Drosophila melanogaster: one gene and its partners. The protein of the gene in region 3 interacts with the protein of the main gene of each other region in a pairwise test. Each region holds a gene or a part of one and is shown on either strand. Other genes may lie near its edges. The genes, in order: CG2147, Rsph3, sina and CG12470.

What was found.
Region 1: the proteins of sina (region 3) and CG2147 interact in a two-hybrid assay, tested with the Drosophila melanogaster proteins (2 studies listed by BioGRID).
Region 2: the proteins of sina (region 3) and Rsph3 interact in a two-hybrid assay, tested with the Drosophila melanogaster proteins (2 studies listed by BioGRID).
Region 4: the proteins of sina (region 3) and CG12470 interact in a two-hybrid assay, tested with the Drosophila melanogaster proteins (2 studies listed by BioGRID).

The regions. Positions count from the first base shown.
Region 1 is NC_004354.4:8,239,079-8,241,990, forward strand, and holds CG2147 (uncharacterized protein), read left to right. Parts: upstream 1-1,605; 5' UTR 1,606-1,691; coding exon 1,692-1,806; intron 1,807-1,860; coding exon 1,861-2,243; 3' UTR 2,244-2,405; downstream 2,406-2,912. Other genes in the region: sni (sniffer), read right to left, coding at 2,500-2,912.
Region 2 is NT_037436.4:6,756,129-6,763,041, forward strand, and holds Rsph3 (radial spoke head protein 3), read right to left. Parts: upstream 4,987-6,913; 5' UTR 4,763-4,986; coding exon 3,813-4,762; intron 1,983-3,812; coding exon 1,892-1,982; intron 1,807-1,891; coding exon 1,391-1,806; intron 1,327-1,390; coding exon 804-1,326; 3' UTR 501-803; downstream 1-500. Other genes in the region: Ist1, read right to left, coding at 1-30, 95-276.
Region 3 is NT_037436.4:16,852,170-16,859,248, forward strand, and holds sina (seven in absentia), read left to right. Parts: upstream 1-1,581; 5' UTR 1,582-2,356; intron 2,357-3,749; exon of another isoform or gene 3,750-3,815; intron 3,816-4,127; 5' UTR 4,128-4,248; coding exon 4,249-5,193; 3' UTR 5,194-6,543; downstream 6,544-7,079. Other genes in the region: Zcchc7 (zinc finger CCHC-type containing 7), read left to right, coding at 1-47; Rh4 (rhodopsin 4), read right to left, coding at 523-1,070. UniProt on the Drosophila melanogaster protein: E3 ubiquitin-protein ligase that is required for specification of R7 photoreceptor cell fate in the eye by mediating the ubiquitination and subsequent proteasomal degradation of Tramtrack (ttk).
Region 4 is NC_004354.4:305,952-309,443, forward strand, and holds CG12470 (uncharacterized protein), read left to right. Parts: upstream 1-1,732; 5' UTR 1,733-1,941; intron 1,942-2,138; 5' UTR 2,139-2,256; coding exon 2,257-2,844; 3' UTR 2,845-2,984; downstream 2,985-3,492.

The DNA of each region.
Region 1 (2,912 bases), on a different chromosome or scaffold from region 3:
TCCGAATGTTAACAGAGCCAGAACAATCCGTAGGCAGCTGTGCGAGGGGAGATCGATCCGTCGGATATAGATTCATATTCATCTTCAGATTCAAATTCAAAAGCAGAATCAGAAACATACAGAGAAACCGAATCAGAAGCGCAGATACAGATGCAGATGCAAGTGTTGCAATTACGTAATCTATTTACTTTATAAAATATATACTATACGGATATACATACACATAAATTATAAATCGAAGCGTACTTAATACAATTAATTTTTAACAAAACGAATGCAAGAGCAAAGTGAAAACTAAGAAATAAAACCGTTCATAAGAGAGAAACAACAAAATCAGTAAGTCATTGCCAAAAAAAAAAAAAACAAGAAAAACGAGAAAAACAAAAAGAGTTAAATAAATGAGAGTGTTAGATGAGGAGAGTTAGGAGAATCACTTAGAAAAAAACCACTCCACGAGCGAAATTGTTAAAAACAAAAACGGAAACGGAAAAACAAAATACTTAGCCAACTTTAAGCACTGTAAGATAATGGAAAACCCAATAAACGAATGCAAATAGTAAGCCGGAAAGAAAATGAACAGGCTAAGGTATCCGAAACAAAAGCAAAAACAAAAGGAAAATCGAAAAACGAAAAACAAAGTAATTCCCAAGTAAATGTTGTTGTAATTAATTATTTAAACCAATTCGTCTAGAGAGAGAACAGGGATGGCAGGGCGGCAGATCCAGTTGGTTTCAATTCCAACCACAACTAACTAACTAGATATACCGTGCATATAGAGATCTATACAAATTCCATTGAGCAGCAGCTAAAAACCAGAATTTTATATTAAAAGAAGTGTGGGTCAAGTAAAATAGCAAACTATGTTACGCAATGTTGAACACTTGAAAGTTTCTAAAAGCGAATGATATCTAATATACCTTAAAATCTACATATACGGTGTCCCGCTTGCCATTTCCATTTCGATCCATTTGCTAGATGGCTGCACTTGCCAGATTATCCCTGTATCCTTTGAGTCCTCGAGATCATATTTCGATCTGATGGACTAATAATGGATTCTTGGTAGAGTTTGAATTGAAATCGGAAATGGTAGCGGGGCAAGTAATAATAAAATTCAAAAAACAATTTTTTTTTTGTAGTCCACAAGGTATAAAAAAATGTGTGTGCAGTAAATCTGTTTAAGTTTTTATTTATGTATGTGTGTGGTGTAGCAAAACTAAACTAAATACGAAACAAATACCTAAAGAAAAACAAAGCGGATTGCAAAATAGGCACGGTTTAATAGCCATTGTACGAAATTAACGACATTTATGAGTAACCCTAACGCAAAAATGCGGACAAAGTCAGATGAAATAACAATATTAATAATAATAAAAAAAATCGACAAACCAAGAAATATAAACTTCAGATTGCGTTTTTCTGGGTGGCAAGTTGATAAAAACATTTATAAAAACCAAATCAAGAAATTTAGAAGTTGCTTCCAGTTTTTAAAAAGTGCGGGCTTTCCGTGAAATTTATTTGTTAGTACCGATAGTTTTCGATAGACTAAATTGAACATATCGATGTAGCACAAAGCCCGATACGTCAGGCGAATGAGTCTTGTTTTTGTTTTAGTGAAGCTAAAATCGTTTTGTTTCCGTTGTCAAAATCCAGCAGTGAGAAGGGAGCGGCACAATTAGAATAAAGAAGCCATCATGGATCCAACACCGCCGCTTCGTGCCACCAATAGTATTAACCCACAGCAGGTGGCAAGCGTTCCACCGCCACCGCCAACGGGGCAAATCATAGCTCCATCGGGAGCGTTTCCTGGTGAGTTGATTCCGCTTTCAAATCGTGCCAAGGCTAAACTTTTCCATCGCACAGGATCCCTGACTCCCGGCTGGAATGACCCGCCACCCATTTCGGCGGATTCTCAGAGCTGCAAATTAAACAATAGTCGTCCACGCCTAGATCTTCGCAAGCGCGTGGCCCACCCGCTGGACGGGAAGTCCTCTAGTGTCCAGCTGGTTCAGCCACAACTATCAATACCTACAGCACAAGATTCAATCTCGCCGCGTCCCGTGGCCCTGGTAACACCCCAGCGCCAGATTCCATATCCGGATCCCAACAATCCACCGGCCGGTGGAGCGGATGTGGGCGGTTTCGGAGCGGGACCAAATGCCAATGCCGTGCGCCTGCCACCGTTGGCCCACAGCATCAGCATCGATCCCTCCAGGGTGGCCAAGGTTCCACCAAGAACCAAATAGCATGTAGTTATCGCCAATTCAGGGCCTAGGCTAAGGAACTTCAAATTAATGTGTTCTATGGCGGGCTGGAAAATCAATTATTTTTCTATGTAAAACACTTAAGACACCTCACAAAATACAATCAGAAATGCGAATGATGGGGGGACGGGACCTCTAAAAAGTAAACCCAAGCGTTTCTTGACTTTAGGAGTCCAGTTTATTCAACAACAATTAACAGACAGAAACAAAATGCAGGTAAACTAACCGCTGTCATCGTTTACCAGGCCAGCGGAGTGCCGTCGTAGTTGACAAAACCGCCGTTCTGTTTCTCGCCCAGCTTGCTGATGGTCTGCACAATTTGTCCCGTGCTGGTGGGCACGTCCAAGGGGGCACTGGAGCCACCCATGTCGGTTTTCACCCAGCCAGGATGCAGACTGACGCACATGATGCGTTGCGGATACAGATCCACGCTCAACGACTTGGTGGCCGCATTCAAGGCCGACTTAGAGGTGCGATAGGCGTACATTCCGCCGTCCGTGTTGCCCTGGATGGAGCCAAGGATCGAGGACATGTTAATAATGGCGGCACGGCCCACGCCCATCGGCTGGGATTCGTTCGCTTTGGCTGCCTTCTTAAGGAGCGGCAGACACGCCTTGGCCAGCATGATGGGCACAACCGTGTTGGTCTGCA
Region 2 (6,913 bases), about 10 Mb from region 3:
ATTTCCATTGCCTCCACCAAGTAGTCCTCCCTATGATGTACGATATATACGATATATGGAGGTATAAGAATGGCTCATATATTCCTGCACCCACCTAATGATGTGCTCCACGCGAATCCTCGCCCTTTCCGTTTTGCCCGTGGCCAAATAGTCGGCTATTTCCTTCCTGGACTTTTGCGTCAGCTCCGCCTTCTTCTTCTCCAGCAATTTCAGGCGATTGAGAGCCAATCGAAGATTGGTCTTCAGTTTGTTGTAATTGGGGCCGCTGGAAAACATCTTCACTACACCCTGGACTTCCGAATTAGTTGTGAAAACAAGGAAATTCGGTCAGTGGTGATTCATTAATTCGGTATGGAAAAAACAATGTGACGTCACGTGCAGTGTGACCGTACATGCAGACCCCTTAAATACCAAGGTAACATTGAAATTTCAAATTGCTTGGCTCTATTAATATTTTAATTTAATTTAACAACCGTTTAAAATATTTTCTAAAATGTTTTGTTCGGCTTATTTTGTTGAGCTTTATTGGTTGAATTTTCGGTAACACAAAAACCTTTAACAAGTATCCAGTTTACAATATGCCATTCCATTTTTTCGATGCCATTTCGCCGCCGCCGCTATGCAATTGTGTTTGGCGCCCAGGCTCGATTCGAATCCTGCGGCGAATTGAGTTCTTCACCAGACACAACCACAAAGTTGCAGCCAACCTTGATTTAATAGCAGGAGTGTGTTAGTGTTACATGTGTGCGGAATCAGTATCCCACTCGAAATATATATATGAACTAAAACTCGAACGCAATCACTTAGAGATGAGGAGCCGGTGGTGGCGGTTCGGGGCACTCCTCCATTTCCGTTTCCGATTCGCAGGGACACGCCTCCATCTCATCGATGGCACAGCCCTCCTCCTCACAAACGCCCGCATCCGGTCCGGATGGTTCCGATTCAGGTTCCTTGTAGCCGGCATAGATCTCGGCACGCTGCTTGATAATCTCCTGAATGATGGCGGTGAGAATCTCGCGCGAGTCCACTATATGGCCCACTTCCTCGGCCACCTCGGCGGACAACCACGGGCAGACGCTCTTCATAAGCTGCTCCTTCTTAACGGCATCGCTGGCCGGCTCAATGTTCTCCAGCACCTCCGGCACCAGACTGGCAATGTGTCCCTGGAGCAACTTGGCCGCCGTCACGCTCTTCTGCATCTCAGCGTCCAGCTCCTTGGCAATCGCATCTTGTCGCAGGCGACGCTCCTTCTCCGCCTGCAAGCGCAGCTCCTCAGCCTCCAAACGGCGCAGCTCGGCCAGTTCCGCCTCCCTCTGGGCCAGGAATCTGTGGGTAACACAAAACGCCATTATAGTAATCTGAAGATTTACTTTACACTTTTTATACGTACTCTTCCTGTTTGCGTCGCAGACTGGACAGTTCCATCTCGTGAGCCACCTCCAGCATGCTTTGTTCAATGCAGGCGTCCACCAGGACATCGATGATTGGCTGCGCCTCGGCATCGAAGTGGAAGAGTTCGCCCTCACCGATCTCGGTGGCCACATCCACGCCCACCTTGGCCGGTATGAACGGAGGCGTCGGCGGCTTCTCGAGGAACAGGTCCGTCTGCGTGTCGATGGTGAACTCCGGCGGACGCTGCACCAACTTCTCCAGATACTTCTCCGTCTGTATGGTCTCGTGCTTCCGCCCCTTGACCGGCGGCGGTGTGCCCAGGACATTTCTCTGATTGCGGCACTGCATCGTCCGTTTGCGCAACATATTGCGACGCCTCAATTCGGCGGCCTTGTCGAAGGGATCCACATCCGTCTGGAGAGGAAGCAAAAAGTGGATTAGTCGTAGGTCAGGGCTGCCAGAGCACTGAGCTAAGCTGAGCTGAACTGATGGGACTTACCACCAGAGAGGCGTTGCCGAAGTTGCTGCCCTTTATGACGCGACGGTCGTACATGACGTTCTTGTAGGGTTCCGGCGGCGGGACGACGGGTCTGCAAGAGGAGCAAAGTGGAGAAGCGGGCATGGAGTTGCCCAGGTGGGAGCCACCAATTAGTAAGCCTCGACCCAGTTCAACAAACTGCTCATGCAGCAAAAAAGCTGCAGACTTTTTGAAAAGGTTCGTAAATGTGCAACTTAAAAGGATTACTACATAAATGGTTAAGTTCTCTAATAAATATGATATCTATGTATGGATAAATATTGTAATTGCTGCTGGAAAAGCAAGTTAAAAGTGTATGAGTTTTAGTTATCTTTAGATTTGTTAACTTCTTTCTATTAAAGTTTAAATATTTTATTTATTTAGTTTTGATTTGCTGCAGTTTCAGTGCACTTTGCTGCATTTGCCAAGACCCAAATCTGTTGCACTATCAAGGCGATAAACATCAAATTTGTTCATTTCCCAACGCCCTCGCAGACTGCTTGTCAGGTCATCTCCGATTCGAATCAATTTCGCCAAAGTTCAGTACACTTTTGGGTCAGAGTTTAAAGCCTGCTTAAAGTTCCACGAGTCCAGTCCGCGGTGGCTGAGTAATTTATGACTTGCTAATTTATATGTATAGCACCGGCAAGTAAATGGGGAAACAAACATTTCTTACATTTCTACATATATGCTGATACATACATGCTGACTGCGAGTAGAAGTAGTATATAACGTAGTTAGACATTGCACTAGAAGAACTTGGCACCTGAACTCGTGACCTATGCAAATTCGCAGCTACTTTTGGCCCACAAACAGGAAGTCACATTGAAGTTGCTGGCGAATGTCTAACAACATTTCTCTGGGTCTGGGTCTGCGCACCACAGACATCAGCAAATGGAACGGGAAACCCTTAGTGCGATGTCCTTATGAGGGATATATGGTCTGAACGAAAATCTAAGTTGGTGAATCCTTTTTGAGTTATAAAATAGTTATCTCCCTAATAGGTTCTTTATTTAAACGTTGAGTGTGATATTTCATTTTTCGTAACCCAAAAAGTATAGCCCATTTGGCCGAACAACATCCCATTTGGGTAAAAACGACCGGCAGGACCTGTTTTTTGTTTTTTTTTTTTTTTTTATTATTGTGCCATAGGTGTCCTTCTTCTCTGGTGTGGTAATTGAACTTAATATCCCTCCATTTGTGCTTTGGTACAATGGGTACATATTGTTGTTGTTTACGAAATCTTGATTTAAATTATTTAAGCCCCGAGCTGGGAATATAGAATATTCTCCGCTGGCACGACACATTCGAGGGTCCTTTGTCCCTTTGTCCATTTGTCCATTTGTTCGCATGTTCTTTTATGCAAGGCAAACGAGTTTTCCCATTCGAGAATGCGCTAAATAAATTAATCAAACCGTTCAGGGAATTTACAATGTCCGAATGTTATTGGAAAAGCATTTCTAATTGAATTGTTAAAGAGTTAATTGTGAAAGTGGGTGAGCCACACAAGAAACTTGGCTGATGAAGAGCCTTCCATTCTATTTGCGTGTCATAGTAAAGTCTAAAAACAGATCAATAAGGTATCATCTTGAATCTATATCAGTTTAGATAACAAATCCTTGAAGGATTCAATTCGGCACTTTAAACCACAAAACCTATTTGTAATTGAATTGTTTGGGTGTCAATCGATAATGGCCGTAGGAACTGAAGTGGGGAGCTAAGTTCTGGTTCCATTGCAGAATGGCAGTGTAGGTACGTACGTATTACTCATTTGAATTTATGGTAATATATTTTGGCCCACTTTGCCTTGGTCAGTTGTCGGACCTTTTCCACTTCCCACCTTTTTTTTTTTTACTTCCAAGTTTAGCACCCATACCATTTTGGGGGTTGGTCTTTTTATTACCTCTTGTCGCTGATGTTGCTGCTGCTGTTGTTGTTGTTGTTGCTGGTGGAGCGACGCTGTTGCAGTTGTTGTTGGAACTGAGCCTTGGTGATGTGGAGTCCACCGGCGAGGGATTGCGTATCGTTACGGGAGGATTTGGAGGCCGCAGCTGTGGCCGCCGCCACTGCCGCCGTGGCACGCAAACCGTTCAGCCGGGTGGCGGTCACCTTCTGCTCCTTGCTCTCACTGCCGGTCTCCTTGGTGAGATACCCTTGGAGGATCATGGGATATGAGGAGTAGGCGTAGACATGCCTCCTCAGCATGGTGGCCGGTATCATTTGGACCTCATGCGGAGGCGGCAGGAAGATGCCCTGCGGCACTGTGGTCTCGAATCGTGGTCGCTGCGACATCGCTGGATCCATCCAGGCACCGGAATTGGCGCTCTGGCGACCGCCGTAGTTCTGCTCCTCCGGCGCCAGGAAGCGCAGCTTCTGGCTCAGCTCATCGGCGAAGCTGCGCACCTCCTGGTTGCTGCGCGAGAAGTGCGATCGCTGTGGAGGATTCCCTACATGATTATCACGGTTATCAGCTATGCCCGCCTCACGTCTAATCGGACGCACGATGGCCTGTTGGGGTCGCGTTGGATAGGAATCGAATTCGGGCTCCTCGGAGGGCTGATGGCGCAGCACCGAGAATGCGTTGGTCACCACGTGCTGGAAATTGTAGGGACTCTGATAGCGCTGGACGTTGAAGCCGCCGGCGTTGTAGTTGGTGGAGCTGTAGTTGGTGTTCGAATTGGAGCTGGACGAGACGCGTCCTGGTGCGTAGGGATAGCTGCTGGCGAAGGAGAAGTTCTGCACGCGATTCGGTCTATTGTCGGTGAGGTGCTCCAGTTCTGGCACTGGCTGTGGATCTGGCTTAAGTTCAGGATGTGAGTGTGCTGGGTGCTGCTGCTGCTCCGTCTCTGGCATGGTCTCCGCTACCGTCTCGGTTATCCCTGCTCCCGGCCGCCGGTCACCTCGTTCATTATAAATAGCCACCACACGGTTCTCTCACCCGCCGCACCGAAAAACTTAATCAATACTTTTCCTATATTTTTCCCTTTTGTGCGCCGCTCAGGTGTTGCGTTCGTTGGTTGATTGTTTGATTTTGTCGCGGAACACGTACCGCACGGCTCGAATGGCAAACGCCAAATGACCAAAGGACTCGCAGGACTCGTGGAACTCGCGCTCGGACCCGGTTTCGACTTTGGATTCGGCCCGTGGTCAGCAGTCGTCGTGCAGTTGGAAAAATATGTGGAACATATAGTCTCCTACTGCCCACGACTAAAGCTTTCCAGGAATTGAGCTGTTACTTCAAAGGACATTTTTAGTAAAAATATCCTTAAAGTGCTGCAATTGGTTTATATAGAAAATTGCATATTTAAACTATTCATGTTGCTGTTTCATAAGTTTAAATAACAATACTTCGCGTGCGTGCCACAATGTAAGTTTCTATACTATATACACATATTTTTCAAATTTTTTTCTGAGTGTATCGCTTGCTTCGCAGTTTGAGGCACATGATGGGCAGGTGTTGCAATAATAATGCGAACTGTTAACAGTCGGTGGCATTGGCATGGCCAAATCCACGTTCCCAGGAATTCTACTTTGCATAAGAGCTTTTTCTTTTCCATCCAAGTAGTTTCGTTGGGGTCTCCAATTAAAGGTTTCGCCCGGCGGAGGGACCTTGAATTTGTTTCGATGGTGTCCACATTTCCTTTCACATTGTCGGAGATGACTTCACGCATTTCCCTGCCTGACATTGAAAAAGGAGGTGGGTGGCTCTCTATTACTTGGAACACCTCCTAGGTATTGTCAATGGCCAAGGTCAATTGCTTGGACTGCCTGATAAGCGGAATTCAACAGGGAACTAAGCATAATTAAGTAGATTTCTTGGCACTCCAAGGAGTCACTCTTTTTTACTGGCAATGAAGAAAGGTCAGTGAATAGATGAAAGATTATTGTAACAGGAATTGGTAAGAATGTATCAGAAGTCCAAAAGCTTTTGGTAAAGCCTGTTGTTAAAAAAGGTAATTTTCTTTCACTCAATCATACTTCTATATGATTAAATTCGTTGGCTGACCTAAAGCACGGTATTCTTATCCTAATTTGAACATATACAGTTCAGAATTGATGTACTAATATATTCGAATAAATGATAAGATATAAGATATACCACACTGTAGTATTTATTCGATTTTTAGCTTGAGAGAAGAATGAGCACTTTACTACAACTGGATTTAGATACACTATAGTTTATTGGGTTTTTATCATATTTGGGGATCATCCTTATTCCCTGGTTGACCTTAATCCGACCCAAGTCCAGCCCCCGTCATTATCGGTAGTCAGATATATTTGTATATTTTTATGATACTAGTGCGTCAATTTCTACAATAGTTTTAAGCACTCATCGACTTCCACACTCCTCATAATTTCCTGTCCTGTGCACTCCTTCTATTGTTTCCCTTCAGAACACGAATGTTTCTATTCAAAATCGTACCAAGTTTGCGTGTCCTTTAGTGGGGCCATTGTATTGACCATCAGCCGAACACGGCCAGCGTTTAATAATTTATTTACGCAATTTATGACTTTCGTTTTTGGTCTTGGGTTCCATTGACCCCAGTGGGGAGACATATAAAGGTGTAGAAAATTCCCCTGCAAGGCGTTACAAAAAGCAATGGTTTTGCAACTATAGGATACTCATTACAAGAGGAGTAATACCCATGATAATTAACTCGAGCTTACAATTTCTAATGGTTCATATTTGTAGCGTATAAATGATTTCTTAACTACTTATTGAATTATTATATATTATATAAATTACAAAGAAAGTAAGAAAGTTGATTAATATTATAATATAATTTTACGAAATATTCAATATACCCTACTTGTCGGACTTAAATTACAGGGAATTACAGGGAAGCATGGGAAATTCTTTGGGTGGCTTCTGTTTGATACTTACTTGGGGCAACCTTTGATTTTGATCGGCTTGGGATGGCTGGCCCACCAAAATGCCTGTTTGCATGGTGGCGCTGGACAAGGATTCTCGTGCCACTTGAGCTGCATCTCGGTGACCTCGGT
Region 3 (7,079 bases):
ACGATTACCGAGCGGTCATTCGACTGCATTCCCTGATGTGCAACTGAGGATTAGCCAGGGTCATGGAATTTATTTCCTGGTGGGTCACCTTCATTTTGTTTAACAAATGCCAACAGATTTCACAATGGGTATCTTAAAGATATTACCCAAAAACCGAATAAATACATAACTGACTATTTTGAAAAAAAAACTCGATTTTATGATTTTATTAGGAATGAAGAGGCTCCAAATAACTGTGTAAATGTGTTTAGGATTTGAGTTGAATTTGTTATTTAATTTTTAAGTGTAAGTGTAGAAATAGTAACAAAATAATGACATCAAAGAACCGAATTTCAAATAAAAAACGGGACTCATTTTCTACTTCGTTTGCAATAAGTTACTATTTATTTATTTCAAACTCAAGAATGTCACACTACAAATTATAAAATTAATGTTATACAGTTTCGTTGTCGGCATTTTATACTTTTTCCTTGGCTTTCATGTTACATGGTCAGTTGTCTTAGAGTAGAGTTGTCCTTGGTTCTATGCAGCGGTAGTCTGTTGCTGCTCCTGGGTGGTCGTGGACTGCGCCGAAGAGATCTCCCCAGACTTTTCGTTGACTCCCAGCCAGGGACAGCGCTTCTGCAGCTCCAAGCGGTATCTGGGGTGACTTATGGCATAGACGAATGGGTCTATGCACGCCACCAGTTTGCAGGTGCAGGCCGGGATCATCGTGGCTCCTGGTGTAAGCAGACTCTTATCCCCGAATGCCCCGATCAGCGACATTACGCCGTAGGGCGTCCACGACACGAAGAACAGGAAGCAGATGGTGATAGCCGCCTTCGCAATCCGTATCTCCGCCGTCTCCTTGCTCTTGTCCACATTGGAGCGCAGCGACTCCACGTTCATTTTCTTGGCCTGCTCCCGTAGGGCCTTTTCGTGGCTGAAGACATGGCCCACGATCTGCGAGTAGTAGTAAAGGATCATCAGCGTGGGACACACGAAGCTGAAAAAGAAGATGGTGCCCACAAACAACCGGGTGTCAAAGTTGTCCGAAAGATAGTCGAAGGAGCAGGACGTGAGGTAGCCCTCTGGAAATGCATAAAAGTGAAGAAGATTAATGGGATTTTTGGTATTAGGATATTTATTTACTTCATATTCGTAAAACGCAATTTTACTCTTTCGTAAATTTGTTTCTTCGAATTTCCCGATCCAAACTAAGTTCTTAAACATTCCCGCCAATGATGTGACACAAGGTCAAGGTATCACCAATCAATATTTTTATTTAATTTTTTGTATTGCCTATATTATTTGATTGGAAATACTATAAATCATAAAAAAGTATTTATTAATGAATTATTTTAAAAATTAGGCTTTAGTTGTCAATAAGAGTAACAGACTACATTATTAACTTTGATCCTTTAAAAATTATGCGCCTGATTCGATTTGTATTATTTCAAAACTGATGTTTTCCTGTTATTAAATTAATTTGACAAACGTGGCAAGGCTGTTAAGTAATCGATGACAGCAATTGATAGCTACCAGGAGGCACTGCGATGTTGCCGATTGCGTGTAATCGACTATCTGGAATCGAATAGACGACAATTGGGGTTCCATCTCTGCAACCGACGCGGACATTAGAAGAAACTCAGTATAGTAAAGTAAATTAATTAATTAACCAGCTAAAGGCAGACATCACGCCCAAAGTACATGGAGAATGCCGAAAAAGACTGAATTCCACACCGCGCAAGGGCAAGTGCAATAAACGCCGACTGCGACGATCAAAGAACGCAATATAGAAAAAGTGAGACACACGAAAAAAACCCATTTCGCTGCCTGTGTGTAAATGCAAATGGTTTATTTTTGTGCAGCAACAACAACAACACAACATCAGCAGCAGCAGCAACACAGAGGCAGAAAAGGCGAAAATAACTAGTAAAGCTAAATATGAATAAATGTGTATGTGTGCGGGTCGCGTTAAAGAAAATTAGATAAAAAGCCAAATGAAATTAGCTCACGCCTGAATTTCGAGTTTCGGTTCGGTGCAAGGTGAACGAAAAGGCGAAAAGCAATCAAAACAGTTTTTCCATTTTCCCAGTGTGCGTGTGCAGTAGCAAAACCACCTGCATTGGTTATATATATATATGCGGTTAAAAAAATAACAAATTGCAACGTAAAAAACGGAACTTGCACCTAGGATATATACACACACATGCTGGCTGTATGCGTGTGTGTGTGTGCATGGCCGTAAAGGCTGACTGACTGATAAAAAAGGAAACAAAAAAATAACAAGAAAATAAAATATACACATACACACACACACCAACGCAGCGGGGCACCAATACCTCGGCACAATTTCTTGGAGGCAGCCTGCCATGTAAGTTTACATATCAACGATTATGTATTTCGCAGTTGTTGTTGCTGTTTAAACAGCAGCCTAGTCGCACTTAATGGCGGCATAAATTAAAGAAAGATAGTCGCATTTCGCTTTGCTCCGCAACTTACGTTTTCTATTTTACCATTTTGCAACTCATGAAAGCAGAAGCTAAGTTAATTATATTCATGGCTATGACTTTTGTGGCAATTACCATTTTTACCCCGTATGAACGTTTCCAACGGTACGCAACGTAAACGAACTGTTAATTATGTGTGTGCGATCTGTGTCTGTGTTGTAAGTGTGTGAGTTTCCCTCCCCGCGGCTGCCATCCCCTACCGCCACCCACCCCCTACACATCCTCGTTGCATTTGTTACGTTACGCACTCTTCATTACGATATTACGTTTATGCGGGCGATGGTACGAATTTCATAATGGCAAATGTTCAAATAATTTTTCCAATATATAGGGTAAAGTATTAAACATTTGTATGTTCATGCGTTTCATGTGTTTTTGTTTTGGGTTAATAAGGAAACATATTATTTATTTTTTAGGTTTGAGTTTGTTTTCGAATATAAACAATATTACTGAACTCCTTTCACACAAAATTTTGATAGCAATCATATAGCAAATATATTCCCGTTAGGAAAGAGAACAAGTTTTGTTTGTACATCAAAGCTAAACAATTACGAAAACTTTATATTATTATATTGATATTTATCTTATAAACGCACCAAAGCACCCACAGCATATTGTTCACACTAATGTGTGCCCATTCTGTCCAAAGTGGACAAACCCGTGAAACCGAACCACACCCATTACAACCAGCACGACACCCACCATCGCACAATCCCGCCATGGGTCGACGTCCCTAATGGCCGTCCATCAGCGTCGGCTCCGTCAGCTCCGCCTGATAAGAGCCAACATATTTGCGCCGTTCCACACGTGCCGCCAAGAGGCTTTTGGGCTTGGGCTCGGAGTTGGAATCGGAATCGGGCCTTCATTTCGATCGGAGACGTGACGGCGACCTCGGGCTGTGTCTTTGCTTTTCGCAGACCAACTCCGGTTCGATACGTTCCGCTTTAAGTAATTGCTTAAATGCAATTCCCATACACGCAAATGCGTGTGTTTTCTTTTTTCGGTAATTACAACAATTGGGAATCCACGGCAAGGTTAAGGCCAGGAATGATAAATCGCTTTGGCTTTTCTATTGGGCGGCACGAAAAACGAACTACCTAGTAGTAGTGATTACGCGAAATAAGTTTTAAATTAATAAGGCTCAAATTAAATTATTACAAATGGATAGTAGTTTTGCTGGGCAACATTTTTTATAGCAATCGAGTAGATTTTGCTTACACAGTTTGCATTCATTTCATTTCTATTACTTCATGGAAAAATATTTTTGCCTATTACTCATGTCCCAGTGGGCACAATAGTTTGGAATGAACATTCAAATCAATAGTATGCTCCGAACTTAAGCCGCAAAATCGATAGAAAGCTCATAACATATGTTCAAATTTAAACCAGCATTTATGCAGTGTGTTATACTGTGATTTTTTTTGTTGGTTGATATATGTTATTTTTGGATTAACTAAGCCTAATCGAAACAAACTATTTTTGTTAAGATATCTGTATGGTTTTGTAGGTTATTGTTTTTTGGAGTTTCTTATCACTGAACGAACAAAATTACAAAAAAAAGAAAAAAAAATTATACATATGCTATGACTAAATTGACCGCATTACTCACTGACCTGTGATTGTATCTCATTTTAGACAGAAGCACAAGAAAGCCATTGCCGAAGCCACCGGGAGGGCGAAGAACCTGAACCTGGCGAGAATTGCAGGGACCCAGAAGAATTGTAGACACATTCGTGCCGTTGCGAGAACCCTTCCAATGTCCAATAAAATCAACCCGAAGCGCCGCGAACCGACAGCAGCAGCAGCAGGAGCCGGTGCCACGGGAGTGGCCACCAACACGAGCACCTCGACCGGATCCTCCAGTGCCGGCAACACGTCCTCGGCCAACACATCCTCGTCGTCCAGCTCCTCGCTGTCGTCCGCCGGTGGCGGTGATGCGGGCATGTCCGCCGACTTGACCTCGCTGTTTGAATGCCCCGTGTGCTTTGACTATGTGCTACCGCCGATCCTGCAGTGCTCCAGCGGGCACCTGGTGTGCGTGTCCTGTCGCTCCAAGCTCACCTGCTGCCCCACCTGCCGCGGTCCGCTGGCGAATATCCGCAACCTGGCGATGGAGAAGGTTGCCTCGAACGTCAAGTTCCCGTGCAAGCACTCCGGCTACGGATGCACCGCCTCGCTGGTTTACACGGAAAAGACAGAACACGAGGAGACGTGCGAGTGCCGGCCCTACCTGTGTCCGTGCCCGGGCGCCAGCTGTAAGTGGCAGGGCCCGCTTGACCTAGTCATGCAGCATCTGATGATGTCGCACAAGAGCATCACAACGCTGCAGGGCGAGGACATCGTGTTCCTGGCCACCGACATCAACCTGCCCGGCGCCGTCGATTGGGTAATGATGCAGTCCTGCTTCGGCCACCATTTTATGCTCGTGCTGGAGAAGCAGGAGAAGTACGACGGACACCAGCAGTTCTTTGCCATCGTTCAGCTGATCGGGTCGCGCAAGGAAGCGGAGAACTTTGTCTATCGCCTGGAGTTGAACGGAAACCGACGCCGGCTCACCTGGGAGGCAATGCCGCGTTCGATCCACGAGGGCGTCGCTTCCGCAATTCACAACTCGGACTGCCTGGTGTTCGACACGTCGATTGCGCAATTGTTCGCCGACAATGGCAACCTGGGCATTAACGTGACCATATCTCTGGTCTAAACGCACTGTCAATTCGTCGGGTTCTTTCATTTCTTGTGTTTACTATTCCGATACAAATACATATATAGTTTATAGCCCTCTGTTCGCATCAGGCGTCTAACTCGTGGACAGATTGTGAGTCTGGAGATTAAGAAGAAAGAGTTTTGCAGAGTTGTTTTATAAAAATGATTCTCTATTCTAAGAGCCACTTACATGCATATGTATATATATCTATGGAAATATCAGGCTGCTTCGATTATCACATTCGGCACGATATCGCAGTTTTCTTTGATTTTTAAGCTAAGACACTCACAATTTTCCAAAGCGAAATGGAAAGCGTATTAAAGCAATTGCTAAGTGATGTTCAGTGTTTATTGCACACGTTCGTTAAACCTGTAAAACCGCGTTTAAAATTCGTATTTTCATTTTTAGTTTGCACATGACTGTGTGTAAATCTCACTCGTTTGCAGAAAAATGCCAAATATTTTTGGTGAGATTTCGCAGATTTGTATAACACACTTTCCTGTCGAATGCGAAAATCGTGGCTGACCTGTATGTTTGTATGTTTAATCGGTTCGATTGGTACTCTAGTTCTAGGACATGATTTTTCAGTTACCGCACACACAATACTATATATTTCAAAGTTTCAGTGTTACCCGTTTTGTTAGTTCATGGGGTTCTGCTTTAGTTTAATTTAGTTCGTAAGGTCCACACACCTGGAGCAGAGCTGCCTGCGCGTGCCCACGTGCCCACCACCTACTACAGTGAACGCTAGGAACACACAGACCCACTCACCAAAACGAGGAGAACAGCAAGAAAGGCGAGGAGGTCACTCATCCACTCGAACATGTACTGCAAAGTCTAGTTTAGTTAATGTAAATTATTTTATACAATACTTGTAAATGGTAATAAGTAAAACGAACAGTTTAACGAAATTAACAAACCTAATAACCCACAAAGAAAAGTAATATTTGATAGCGATAATCTGTAATAACTCGAGAGTTGTTTGAAAGTTGCAGCCTAAACGAAACTGCGACCCGCAATTTTGTTCATGCCAAACCATCACAAAATAACAAAAACACACTAAAAAAAAAAGAAAACATTTTTTTTCGCAATGCTAAAAAGACAGTTGCCCCTTCCCATTTCCCCCCAAGTCCCCCCAAACATATAAAGCAATGTTAATGTTTAAATTTCTATCTAGTTAAGACGATCTCCCCGGTTTGGCTCATGTTTTGGTTTTGATTTCCATTCGGCCAACGTTTCCCAATCGAAAACGGAAGAAAAATTAATGATTTTAAGCATCTGCACCGTAATTAGCTTTTAATGCGCCGATTTACCGCGCCACTACCATATGAGATCACTCACACAGACACAAAACTACAAAACTGAAATAAACATGATTAGTAAAAGTAAACAATGCTCGTTAATTATTGAAATTAATCTGGGGGAAGCTGAATTACAAAGAAGAGCTACGCCACTTTATAAACTTGTCGATTTAAATCAGTTATCTGTTTAATTTGGATTATCTTTGAGATACTTGGGTTACTTCTAATGCGTTTTAAAACGTTGCAATAATAGATGGCACAAGTTTTTAGTGGTGCACCGCCGAAGCATCTTAAAGATTTAGCTGGATTGGTATCTTACTAGGATACTTAGGCCAATTTCAAAAATAAATTTTTAAGCTGATTTTAAAATGATTTAAAGCAAGTAGGCTCCGAAGTAAAAGTAGCTCATTATACTTTTAGCTTCGTTGTATTGTGGTACAGATTGTATTTTCGAATTCTTTTAAGCAAAATTTCAGTGTTCAGAAAAAGTAAAAAAAAAGTAAAACCATCGGCACTCTCATTCTTCAGAATCGTTTGGTTGTTAGGTCTTAGGATTAATAGCTTGCGCATTGATTGTTGGCT
Region 4 (3,492 bases), on a different chromosome or scaffold from region 3:
AGTTTCTTGTATATAACGTTCTCCCTTCCTTCTATTTGTTTTTTTTACTTGGCTTTTGACCCAATGCCTTGGACCTTGTTCTTATTTTTTGTTTGCCCTAGACTCGTTGGCGTCGACTTTTAGGTTGTTGCACTTTGGTACCACAGTTATCAAAATTTCGATTGCTCTATTTTATTGCTGTATTTTATTTTGACCGATACAACTGCAGGATAGCCCATGTGTAAACAATCAGCAAACCATTTGTTATATTCCTGCAGTGAATGAAGATTAATTTCAGTCATAAAAAAAGAAAGGGAAGGCTACCGGAGAGGTGCTAAATAACTCCGCTCTCTGAGATAAATTATGCGCAATTTCTCCTCTGCAAACTTATTCAGCACCTTAAAGCTTAAGTACTCCAAACTAAGCTTTCGCGGCTTAAAGCTAAAAATCTTTATTTTATGATAAAAAGCTCAATTTTATGAGCATGTACTTTTTTACGTTTTTAACATGCCGTTTTTTTTTTTAAGAAGGACTTGGACATCTGTATAAGGCAACATATCCATGTGAATTTACAAGGAGAAAACGATTCAGTCGATCTTGTCGGCTTACAGATACGTGTTACTACTCCGCTAGAGGAAGTGCGTTGGAGTTGGATATATGTAGATAACATATCGATAGATTTACAAAATTAAATTTTCAAATGTGTCGGCGTGGCAGTTTTGGGGGGTTTGGGGGCCTTAGAGTGGGCGTGGTAATATTTCAACAAACTTGCGCTGGTTCTGTCTCTAGAATATGTATGCTTAATATAAACCTTCCAGCTTTTATAATTCCTGAGATGTCGACGTTATACGGCCGGACAGACGGACAGTGCCAGATCGACTGGGCTATTGATACTGATCAAGAATATATAAACTTTATATGGTCGGAAACGCTTCTTTCTACTTGTTACATACATTTTCAACGAATCTAGTATACTCTTTTAGTCTGCAAGTAACGGGTATAAGAAGTATAATTTGAACTGTATAAAGGTTAAACTGTATGTAGGTTAAAGTACTTATGCGGTAAATGAATCTTATTTCTAGTACTTATCTAATCATCCCACATTAAAGCAACTGATTAAATAATACCATTGAAGATTGCACACATTTGTATATAGAGAGTGGGAGAGAGCGATATCTTCCTCCATATGGGTATCCTAAACCTGCCGACTCACGTTTGCCGGCATGACAGGTTGGGTTACCCCATTAGCTGAGAATTTCTTTTTGATGAAGCAATAATCGAAGGAGTGTTTTCTTTTGGATTCGTATTCGTTTGATACCGCTGTGAGCCATAAAATGTAACCCATTAGGTTAGTATGGTTGCGATTATAATGGTGGTGTCATCATCATTTAGCCAAAAACCTGAGATTTATTCCACTGGTCCATTCATAAAAGGCCATCATTTGAAGCTTAGATAATGTTTAATTAATAAATACGCGTTTTTCGTATTTCAATGGTACTTTTATCGTATCAGATATTTTTTTTAATATTTCCATATTTTTCTTCTTCCAGCAGATAAAGGAAAGTAGTAGATTTAGTTGTCCCTTAAGTTGTGATACAACGATAATTGAATAAAATAAGAACTGGCAATTATATATGCATTAAGCTGTTTACGAGCACCAAACGTAGCCTACTCTGGGTTGGTTTATTAAATAGAATGGCTTTCTTACTTTTTTTTAGATCACGTTGCTTTGCTGAAACTGTCAGTATTTGGACTTGGCTATCACCAGCCATATGGCAAAACATCAGAAGTAAAATTGTCTGTGAACACACAAAGCACACGAAAAAATCTCGGAAAAAAAACTGTACAAAATTTAACTTCGCTCTCGACCAGATTTACAAAATTTTTTTTTTGGCCAAACTTAAAATTAGGAATACAAGAGAACGGTGTGTGTACCAAAATCAAATCGTGTTTAGCTAGTTGGTGAGTCTTATTGGAAGCTCGGCATATTCCGAATATTACTGAAATTTTTTCCCCATTTCCGAATTGCATTTGGTTTCACATGACATACGCACACAATTGGAAGTCGTAATTCTATATGTGTGGGACAGTGTTTACTGAGTATTTGGTTGGGGTTAACTTAAGAATTAATATTTTTTTTTTTTAAATGCGTATTTCAGACGTCAGGATATATGCTACTTTGATTCGTTAACTATTTTCAAGTGATCGGAAGCAAACGCAGAGGCATTTCTAATTTGTGCGTTGCGCGACTTTCAGAGATCGTAGACTCGATTAACCATGGGTAAAAAGGGCAAAGGAAAGAAGGGCAAGAAGCCCGCCGCAGTTGTGGCTCCCATCGAAGCGCCACCATGTCCTCCGTGTCCGGAACCACCAAAGCAGATGCAACCACTTGACGCTTGTCCAGAGTCTAGCGGACCCCACGATGTCCTTCGGGCTCAACCGAATCATTACCCGGCTCTTCTTCGTATTCCGGAAACAATGGCGGTGGTGGGCTCTGAGAATGGATGCTACGATAGCATTTGCAAGCTCCTGAGAGCCGGATTCCGGTGTGCCGAGCGGGTTTTCGTGATGGCCCCTTGGGGCAACTACGTGGTTTTCCGGTATCACAACAATAATGACTTTATTTACTTCCTGTTTGATGGATGCACCTGCGATGTTAATAGGTTCCGCTATCTAGACCTCAGCTGCGGAACTGCTGGATTTCTTTTCTTCGATAATATGCACGACGTTATTAGTTATATTATCCAGTCTCGAAAGACGCGTCTATATCTGGAGAATCTAAACAAGATTGCCATTGATCAGATTGTGGAGGAGTATGGCGCTGTAACGTACACCCAAAAGGCAAAATGCATGCGATTCGCTTAAATAGGTCCCATATGATTTCTAACAAAAGAGGGCAACGCATACACAACGAGGATAATACTGGACGACAAGCTTTGCTCTAAACATTTAACATATTTTGGCACAATCTTTATCAATAAATAATAATCTCTTTGAAAGCAACTAAAACAAATTTGCATAGCTCTAATACCAATAGCGGTGATAGCGATATACCAAAGCGTTTATTTTGCATGTCGAAGTTAATCCTTTTGTAGAGTTTTGCTGGGAAAGTTGAGGTTAGCGTACGATCAAAAGAAGTTAAATAACAATAGTCGACATAAATTATTGCAATATTACTGTGGATAAAATACAAATCGTAAATATAATATCAAAAATTAGAGACTTACAGGGTGTGAGAATTTTGTCAATTAGAGTACAGATTCCAAGTCGATTAGCGTTCGATTAATTCCATTCATTTGAGTGGTATGGAAATTATGCATGTGCATCATTTTGCTAATATTCGGCTCAAAAGAATGAAGCGGAGGATTCCAGCTTAACGTGCACAACAAATCCCTCAAATTATTATTGCTTGCTACAAAATGAAAAAAGAAGAAACCCAATAGAAACAAGGTGAACCTTCCAAGTAAGGGGTCAATTTTTGGAGGCCCATGGATTGCGAAAACCGCAAAGCAT